Linked DNA regions of Cricetulus griseus. The protein of the gene in region 2 binds, or shares a complex with, the protein of the main gene of each other region. Links are inferred from orthologs where the notes say so. Each region holds a gene or a part of one and is shown on either strand. Other genes may lie near its edges.

Region 1 (3,654 bases), on a different chromosome or scaffold from region 2:
ATCATGTCTGCAGTCCTTCCTGCCTCTTGGTTCATTGACCAGGGCAGTAACTAACTGACTTACCGCAGACAGACAGCATGCTTCATTCTGGCCTTGATTCGAGAACTTGTTTGCTTTTTAAAACTCTACACAATCAGACTATGTAGACCAGTGGTTCTCAACCTGTGAGTTGCCACCTTCAAAGGACCATTGAAAACACAGATGTATTTACATTAGGATTCGTAACAGTAGCAAAATTGCAGTTGGAAAGTAGCAATGAAGATAGTTTTATGGTTGGGGAAATCGCCACAATATGAGGAACTGTATTAAAGGGTTGAAGCATTAGGAAGGTTGAGAACCACTGTTATAAACACTTAAAAATTGATGGTTGTTTTATATTTTTATAGTAGTAATGAATTTTTATAATGGTTTAAGAACAATAAACATTTTTCAGGTTAACTGGCATTGAATTGTTCTTTTAATACCATAGTCTTACATTTTTTTGTACTTAACAGATATGCCAAAGATGACATGAACATCAGAGACCAGCCCTTTGGTATTCAGGCAAGTGACACTTATTTTACTCTCCAAGAATAATTTTTATTTAGTACTTATATCTTTACATTATTTTCCAAAAGGTATTTGTATTAGAGTTCTCTAGAGGAACAGAACTGATAGGATGAATATAGATATTAAAGGGTGGTTTATGATCTAGCCTAGAGGACGTGGTTGGGTTTGGTTTGGGCAGTCCAACAGTGGCTGTCTCATGATGGAAAGGCTGAGAATCCAGTATCTGTTCAGTCCACAAGGCTGGTTGTCTCAGAAGGATTCCTGCAGAGCTGGTAGTCTTTGGCCTACATTGAAATCTTGAAGAAGTTGGATTTAATATTAGCAGCAACAGAATAGATAGAGGAGCTTGAGCTTGCCAGTGAGAGAGAGCAAACAGGCAAAAAGTGAAGCTTCCTTCTTCGAGTTCTGTTTATGTGGGCTGTCACCAGAAAGTGTGGCCAGATTTCAAATTCTGATCAAGAAAATCTCTCACAGGAGTGTCTTAAGTAGGGTTTTGTTGCTGTGAAGAGATGCCATAACCATAACAACTCTTACAAAGAACATTTAATTGGGGCTGGCTTTGAGGCCAGAAGTTTAATCCATTATCATCATGGCGGGAAGTATGGTGGCACACAGGCAGGCATGGTGCAGGGGGAGAAGCTGAGAGTTCTACATCTGGATCCCCGGGTATCAAGAAGAGACAGTGAGCCACATTGGGCCAAATGGAAGGAACATCTAAAGCCTCAGAGCCTGCCCCAGTGACACACTTCCTCCAACACCACCACACCTACTCCAGCAAGGCCACACCTCCTAATAGCACCATGCCCTGTGAGCCTGTGGGGACCATTTTCTTTAAAACCACCACACAGGACTGTCTGCCAGCTTGGGTTTTAGTTGATTCCAGATGTAGTCAGGTTGCCAAGCCAAGATTAGCATCACCGTGTTTAAGCTAAAACAACTTTGGTTTATATTTATATGAAATGATTCGAATGAGGAGAAAACACGAAATGTAGTAGACAGATGGAAGATGAGAATCAAGTTTTCTAGTGAAGGATAATGATGTGGTCACTAACTCGAGGTCAAGAAAAGATGTTAAAAATGTTACTGATTTAGAATCAGTCAATTGTCACTCCAGGAATGATCCTTGTGAAAAACATTGCCTTAGTCACCTGTGCATTGTCTATGGCAGCTCTTCTGACACGTCGCCTGTCACAACAGTAGGGTCGAGTAGGTGTAACATACACAAACATAAAATAAGAAAGTTAAAGTACCGTTTTTATTTCATAGAATAAGTTTGCTAACCCCTCGTTTAGAAATCTTGAGACTTTGGGGCTGGAGAGATGGCTCAGAGGTTAAGAGCACTGACTGCTCTTCCAGAGGTCCTGAGTTCAATTCCCAGCAACCACATAGTGGCTCACAACCATCTGTAATGAGATCTGGTGCCCTCTTTTGGTGTGCAGATATACATGCAAACAGAATGTTGTATACATAATAAATAAATAAAATCTTTAAAAAAGAAAGAAAGAAAGAAATCTGAGACTTCAAAGCTAGAGAGAATAGCTCAGTAAAAAACAAACAAAAAAACCAAAAAACACTTTTACAGTGTGTTGTAAGGGCCTGGCTTCAATTTGGAGAGATGTAGCTGGTATGGAAACAGGCCTGGATTTCCAACATGAAGGTTGAAAGCTCAGCTTGAGCTGCACCAGGGAGCCTATCTATGTATAAAGGGTGTGTGTGTGTAGGGGGGGTTGGGGTATTAGGTGAATGCATTAAAATTAGAGAACCTAAAATTAAACCATGACATAATTTGTTGTGATATTTTACCATTTCTTTTTGGGTGGTATTGTTTTATTATAGGAGGCATAGATAGGATTCACCTTGGATTTTAGGCAAATTTATAGTAGAAGAGTTTAGTATCTGTATCGACTTACCCACCATAGTTATAGAATCTCTTTCCCAAGAGATCTTTTTAAAAAGGAACAGCCAGGTATGGTGGTGTATTCACTCTAGGAGCAAAAGTGGGCGGATCTCTGTGAGTTCAAGGCCAACCCGATCTACATAGCAAGTTCCAGACCAGCAAGGGCTATAGTGAGGCCCTTTCTCAAGAAAGAAAAAGAAAAGGAGTGAGAGGGGTACCTAAATAAAAATGCTAAGTTGAATGTTAGGCTGTTGGTATTTGAGAACCAAACTACTGTTTATTTTTCAGGTTCGAAATGTAAGGTGTATTAAATGTCACAAGTGGGGTCATGTGAACACAGATCGAGAATGTCCTTTGTTTGGTCTTTCTGGAATCAATGCAAGTTCAGTTCCTACTGATGGCTCAGGTAAGCATTAGACAAAATTTTGTCAAACAAGGAAAGATAAAGTAAATTTTTATTTAAACTGAACTCTTTTGTTGTACTTGAGTTTAGTTTTTGTGGATTAAGACACATTCCCAAAATAGGATGATAGAGCTAGTGGTGTAACTCTGGTGGAGTGCTTTGCTTGTCACGTGTATATGAGATCTTGGGTTCAGTCCCTAGCACCCCACTCTCTTCCCTGCCTCCCCCTAGAAGGTGATAAATGGGAAACTCTTCATTATCTGAATGCTCTAAAATAGAGTTTAACTTTTCTAGCCAAGTTTCTATGAACTTTATTGTGGTTTTTGTTTTTGTTTGTTTGTTTAAAACAAGGTCTCATAAAAGCCAAACTGGTCCCAAACTCACTATGTAGCCATCGCCTTGAACTCCTGATGCTCATTCTCTACCTCTTGAGTGCTAAGATTATAGCTGTGTGGAGACAGGGTCTGACTGTGCAGCTTTGGCTGACCTGGAATACGCTATGTAGACCAGGCTGATCTTGAACTCACAACGATCAGTGTGCCTCTGCCTCCTGAGTGCTTGGATTAAAGGTATGCACCACTACTGTCCTTTTTAAAATATTTGTATTACTTGTGTTACATGCACATGTACATGCAGAAAGCCAAGGAGGCCAAAAGAGAGTGTCAGGTCATCTGGAGCTGGAGTCACAGGTACTTGTGACATGGTTGCTAGGAAACAAATGGGTTCTCTGGAAGGGCAACAGATACTCTTAACTAGTGAGCCATCTCTCCAGCCCCACTAATTTTGATTGTAAAGTTAGACACAT
Region 2 (3,654 bases):
GTGGCACACACCTTTAATCCCAGCCCCCAGGAGGCAGAAGCAGGAAGATCTTTGTGAGTTCAAGGCCAGCCTGGCCTACATAGCGAGTTCTAGGACAGCCAGAACTACATAGAGAGACCCCTGTCTCAAAAAAACAAAAACAAAACAAAACAAAAACCACCACCAACACCACCAACACCAAAAATAAAACTAGAAGAGAGCGTTAGGTTGTGTGTCCATGTGTGTTCAGCACATGGACACGTGAGTAAATGAAGACAGATAAAGGCAGCAAGTGCTGAGCTGGTGACAGGCAGGGCAGTGGCAGGACAGCCGTCTGAGGTAATAAGCTGCTTACAAGGTACTAAATGTGCTATAGGCAGGTGAGGGGCAGTTGTGTGACGCTTGGCTTGCTTCCCAAGCCCTTTGTCATCTTACCGTCTTGTGTATCAGGTAAAAGTCCTTCTTGTGGGCACAGAATGCCTTCTTGAAGAGCCTCTTCTCCATGGGAGTCCAGATGTCTGAACCTGCCAGGGAGCACAGCCAGGCAGGGGAGGTTTTTCTCAAGGGACCACTGCCTCACTGACATGTCGACCACACTTTTATGAGCATCGAGAATGCTCTATCTAGGACAGTCTTCCCAAAGCCTACAAAGCTGGGGCCTCACTACCCTTATGTTATAGATGTGGGCAACTGGCTGGGGCCTCGGTGGCCAAGGGTGGTGGGCCTAAGCTGCCTGGCTTTGCTGTACTCATCTGTTTAACCTGAGTGCATAGCCCCTGCCCCAGTCAGGAATGCTAACCTTGCTGGGAATGATGGAACAGGGCTGGTGGGGTCTAGTGAACTCAAGGCAGTGCCTGCAGAGTCCCTCTGGGAAGAACAGGCCCCTTCAGGAAGTCAGGCAAAGGCCAAGGGGCAGAGGTAAGTTTCCATTCGGCCTGGCAGCAATCAGCCAGGCCTCAGTATCAAACAGCCCTTTCCCTAGTTACCTGTGTAGCGATAGTCAGCTAGCGGGTGAGTCCGGGGCTTTTGGGGTCCTCTGAGTAATAGAGTCTCCAGGGCAACCTGGAAGGACAGTGAATGTAGGCCACTCACAAGGCATGGGAAGTGGGGGCTGCCTCCATTCTCCTTCCATTGAAAACAAATCTCTCTAAAGTCATCTGGTTTAGGGCCACATAGAAGGGCTTGGTCCTCGGGCTCATGATAACTTCACTGATTACCCTTTGAACATCATTTTTGTCTTCAAAGTATGGCTTGTCCACGAAGGGTGCAGTATGTGGGTTTGCGAAGCACATACTGCTCCCCACCAGAGCCTGCTGCACAGAAGAGTGCTATCCACCCAGCACTACACTGTGTTCTCTCTCTGGGTACTCCTTGCTGGGGATGGAGCCTGGGCCTCACATATGACTCACATATGACTTTCTGAGACAGAATCTATACCGTAGCCCAGGCTGCTCTCAAGCTTCTTATCCCCCTGCCTTAGCCTTCCAAGTGCTGGAAGTCCAGGTGTGAGTGACCACACCCCTCAGCCAATATGCTTAGAACATTTTGTCTCTCCTATAAGCTCTGTGGGGGTATGGGCTACTCTAATCCTAGTAAGGACCAGGCATGGACTTTCTAGGGTTTGGTACAAAATGAAAATGAAGATTTCCTCTGACTGACACACACTTTTAATCCCAGCACTCAGGAAGCAGAGGCAGGAAGACCTCTGAGTTCTGGGCCTACAGAGTGAGTTCGAAGACAGCTAAGGAAATCCTGTTTCAAAAAAAAAATCATAAAACAAAACAGGATTTCCACTCAGAAACTCTGAAGAATCCCCAGATGAGGACAATGAAGGGTTAAGTCAAAGACAGAGCACACAAACATGATTGATACCCAGTGGATGTTTGGCACACATGTGCCAGGTACTGCCCCTCAGCTTGACAGAAAGCATGGCCCAGGGCTGAGTCTCAGGTCCTGAACACTGCTCCTCCTATACTGCCCCAGGATACCTTCTCTTGAAGCTGTGGCTCTCAACCTTCCTAATGTTTTAACCCTTTAAAACAGTTCCTCTTGTGGTGAGCCCCATAACCATAAAATTATTTTTGTTGCTACTGTTGTGAATTATAATGTAAATATCTGTGATTTCCAAAGGTCTTTGGTGACTTCTGTGAAAGGATTGTTTGAAGACAGACAAGTTCTGTAACTGAGCAACTTCCACCCACCCCCATTCTGCTATGCCGGCCTCGAAGGACTGCAGACGTGGACCTTGCCCTTCCTTCATCAAACAATCCAAGGCCCAGAATATCCAGCCCCAGAAGTGCACAGTACCTAGGTCTCACCTGAACACTGCCCTGGGCTTCATGCAGGCAGTGGAGGGCAAGCTCTAGGTTGGTGCCCCCTCCTGGCATCACACTGGAGCATGCCACATTGCAGAGTTCCATCACTATGAACCCAAGAGCATTAGGAAGAAGAAATGGAGTCAGGACATGCCAGGGAGGTACCGCCCCCATAGCACAGGGGCTCCTGGTCAACTCCCCTTTCTGTACATCCCCATAGAGGACAGGGAACAAGGAGGGACCATAGGAACTCGGGCTTGGCACCTGCGCTGGAAGTGAGAGGTGGGGCAGGGCAATGCAAGGTGGGAGAGAGACGCTGGGTGGAGTTGGATGGGGAGGGAGGGGCCTTGGGACCTGACCCAAAGCCTCAGCCACCTCTGTCCTGGGTCTCTGGATTGCTCATCACATCTCCCCATGGCTTCCAGACCAGAGAAGCTACATTCTCATCCACTCTGGCCAGGGGCCTCTCCTGCAGTTCTGGGATCTCCGCCTGAAATCTGCTTCCTACGTTGATATGTCTGAAACAAGGCCACATACACATATGGGGATTCAAAGGTGACGAAGCCAGGAAACAGCAGAGATGTGCTATGTACCCTGTTCACAGCCACAGCCAGCTCCATGGCAGCTTACTGCCATCTCTCAGACACAGTGGCTTCTCATTACCTTATCAGCCAACAGACACAGGCATTTCAGAACACTCTTCCTAGCTTCTTCATTTCTGATTTCTGGCCTAGGTTCCAGGAAAGGAGCTACATGCTGACACTGACCATAAATGCTCTGTCTTCCTGAACTATGCTGTCACCACTTCTGTCCAGAAGCTCAGGTCCATGGAGGAAATTCTGCCCCTCCCCAAGCCCATCTGTGTGAGTTTAGACAGAAGTAACACAGTGGGACCTGCCCTCCCTGGGAAGACAAGCCTGGAAAAGGAGGCTTTGGAGCCCAGGCTGGTGAGAGCACCCTCTCTAGAAGGGCTTGGACATAAGTGTCCCAACTCACGGTTCGATGCTGATTTTTGTGTCATCCTTCACCACACAGATGCCAAAGGAGCTGTCCACTTGGTCTAGAAAACACACAGGGAAGAGCCTCAACAAGACTGACCTGATAGGGCCCCCGGGGAGCTTCTACCTGCCTTTGGGACACAGGTGAAAACAAAGCTGTGAGGCCCAGGTTGGAGGTGGTAGATTTTTGAAAAAGTAGAAGAAGAAACTCAGTGATTTAAAACAAACAAACAAACAAAAGGCTATTTGCCTGGCATGGTGGTGCACTGGGGGCAGAGACAGGCTGATGTCTTTGAGTTCAAGGCCAGTCTGGTCTACACAGTGAGTTACAGGGCAGCCAGGATTACATAGACACTATCTCG
Region 3 (2,839 bases), on a different chromosome or scaffold from region 2:
AAGCGCTGTGCTTACCTTTGCTGGAATGTAGGGTGTCTTTGGAAAGAGAGAGGCACAGAAACTACCTGTTTTTCTTCATATGCCTTCAAAGAATAATAATAACAATGCAAAAGGGAAATTTAAAAGTAGTTAAGAATCAGTGGAAGTCTAATTTTTAAACCTGCTAACATACACTGTGAAGTATTTTAAAAAAAAACACTGTTAGCCTGAAGTAGAGCTTGCCTTTAGTCTGAACACTTGGGAGGCAGAGGCAGGTGGATCTCTGAGTTCCAGGACAGCCAGAGATACCTGTCTCAAAACCAACAGACGCCCCCCCCCACCCCACCACCACCACCACACACTTACTTACAAATCAAATTGATCTAGGGAAATTACATTTATCTGTTGTTTCTCCTTTACCTTTAATTACTTGGAATTTTCAAGAAAAATTTACAAAATAAGGATCTTTACCTGAAACCTTAATACCAATTCCTGAAAGCTTAAAACAAAAACTAAGTTTCACAAAATAAATACACTGAAGCAGCTATAATAGTAATAACCTTTATTTAAAATAGTTTTAATTTAGGAAGCTCATTTCATATGAGTTTCCAACTAATTATTAGAATCAAAACCAAACAAAAAAAGCCAAAGAAAATCCTCTGTAGAAAAAATACCCAAGAACATTTCTACATATGAAAAACAGTAAACATTCTTTACAGCCAGACATCTATGTGCTAGTGTGAATGCCATCTCTCCTAGTGAACACCACTGTCGACCTTGAGATCTGATTTGTTCTTGTCATTCTTCACTGAGTAGATAAAATATGTTAGGGTGTCTTTTTCATTCACTGGAATAGACCTAAAGTGGCAACCAACTATCTACAAAGAAAAAAACAAATTAAATGTTAGATGCAGCAGATTCTGTGAGCCAGGTAAAAGGCACAGTTTAAAAAAAAAAAAAAAAAGGCACAGTTTAGGCCATGTGTTATATGGCCACAAGAGATTGTCTTTTAAAAATTAAGCTGTTTTAACAAAATATGAACAGGCCCCAAAGCACATTTAAAAAAAACAAAATATTATCAACAAAGGACAGTCTGATTTCAAAGGACCCTTTAGTCTACTCAATTCATATGCTCTAATTCTAAGTATTTTACTTGCTTTGGTCCACTGGTTATAAGTATTTTTCCCTTTAAACTTAACAACTTATAAAGTACATATTCTTAAACATTAAATATCAATGACATAAAACAAAAGAGCCAACGTGCATGTCGACTGCATTCACAGGAAAAGATTAATGTAAACAAAACAACAAAAACCCTTGGTAACAAACTATGATATCATATACAATTTTGGTGCAATTGATATTCATTCTCCCTAAGTTTCAGCAAAATTTTCTGAGTAAGATTTAAGAAAATTAAAGGAGCTAGAAAGACGCTCAAGAAGACTGCTTCCCTGTCTTTTCACAGCACAAACCAAACATGCACACTGAGCTACCAACACGAATAAGAAACTGAGCTGCTAATGTGTGCACTCCGATTCCAGAAGATGGCCTGTTTTTCTAGAACAGAAAATAACTCTGTACTAATTCAACTGTTTTTAGAAGACCAGACTTTAAAGTTGAGATTTGAGTTATAAACTATATGATGTTATATCATACAACGTTTGCATCAGTTCTTGGCTCCTCTCTGTTACAAAACAGGGGCGACCATACTTCATTAATGTCTAGTATATTTCATCATAGTAGGGAACATCTTTATGTTTATGTACTGTGCCATGGTAAAAGGACTAGATCTTTAAATAAAATTTGAAGAAAAATTATATTTTTGTCTAGGCAAAAAATAGAGGAGAAAATTTGGCTAGTTAGCATATTGAATTTTAATAATGTAAAAGAACTTTCTACAAAGAATTGCAACTTGTATTTATCTTTTATTTAATATGCACATTAGAAATGTAGGCTAACTACTCAAGTCAAACCCAAGAATATGAGAAAACTCATGTAAACACACACACACACACACACACACACACACACACACACACAGAGAGAGAGAGAGAGATTTCTGTCCTGTCTATTTAGTGGAAAAGTTTATTTTACATATAAAGTCTAATTATTTAAATCTGTAAATACTTTAAAGTGCACAGATTTTGTGGCTCTATTACTTCTTGAAAACACACACACACACACACACACACACACACACACACACACACAGCTAATTTCCAAAGCACTCTGAAGGAACCAAAGTCCTATACAAAATAAACTTTAAGTAAAAGCTTGGATAAAATCTTTGCTCTCTCTCGATGTAAAGAAAGCATCTTCTACTTAAAAACAACAACTACTAACAAAGACAACCTGAAAGTAAAACTAGAAAGTTAGGAAGTACTGCTTCAGGGTTCATCTGTAGGCCTATCCCAGAGAAGCTTTGAAAACTAAATTCTGATAAATGCTTGTAAGCTTATTTATTTGTTATGCCTCAATTAGGTGTTCAATAAACAGACATTGAATAATTAGAAACCTAAAACAGATTTCTGAAGTGATTAAAAACTCACTAAATACTTACTCTGAGAAATCCCTATTAAAAAATGCTGTAAGTGGATTTTCTAGGTGACAGACAGTTGTTTCTAAACCACTATATGCACACCATGATAGACCCATTAACTCTGACTTTCTTAGACATTAGACATTTACCTATTTCATCATCATTTAATCACAACCCTTGTTGGTGTGAACAGGTTTGTTTATACCGTATAAAAATTATACATACCTCAACAAGTTGTGCTTTATTAAGGCCTGGTCTGGTTGGAAGCTTGAAGTGTCTTTTGTATCTTCTAAGTGTATTTACTTGTAATTGGTACAAATC

What was found.
Region 1: Znf541 (region 2) and Cir1 share a complex: the UniProt entries of both Homo sapiens proteins name them as parts of the histone deacetylase complex. The link is inferred for Cricetulus griseus from reciprocal best matches to the Homo sapiens genes ZNF541 and CIRSR.
Region 3: Znf541 (region 2) and Sap30 share a complex: the UniProt entries of both Homo sapiens proteins name them as parts of the histone deacetylase complex. The link is inferred for Cricetulus griseus from reciprocal best matches to the Homo sapiens genes ZNF541 and SAP30.

The regions. Positions count from the first base shown.
Region 1 is NC_048599.1:101,841,233-101,844,886, forward strand, and holds part of Cir1 (corepressor interacting with RBPJ 1), read left to right. Parts: intron 1-494; coding exon 495-543; intron 544-2,734; coding exon 2,735-2,852; intron 2,853-3,654. UniProt on the Homo sapiens protein: May modulate splice site selection during alternative splicing of pre-mRNAs. Regulates transcription and acts as corepressor for RBPJ. Recruits RBPJ to the Sin3-histone deacetylase complex (HDAC). Required for RBPJ-mediated repression of transcription.
Region 2 is NC_048602.1:10,752,920-10,756,573, reverse strand, and holds part of Znf541 (zinc finger protein 541), read right to left. Parts: intron 3,355-3,654; coding exon 3,291-3,354; intron 2,813-3,290; coding exon 2,670-2,812; intron 2,402-2,669; coding exon 2,298-2,401; intron 1,042-2,297; coding exon 966-1,041; intron 504-965; coding exon 415-503; intron 1-414. UniProt on the Homo sapiens protein: Transcription regulator which is essential for male fertility and for the completion of meiotic prophase in spermatocytes.
Region 3 is NW_023276806.1:235,754,598-235,757,436, forward strand, and holds the end of Sap30 (histone deacetylase complex subunit SAP30), read right to left. Parts: coding exon 2,744-2,839; intron 858-2,743; coding exon 735-857; 3' UTR 525-734; downstream 1-524. UniProt on the Homo sapiens protein: Involved in the functional recruitment of the Sin3-histone deacetylase complex (HDAC) to a specific subset of N-CoR corepressor complexes. Capable of transcription repression by N-CoR.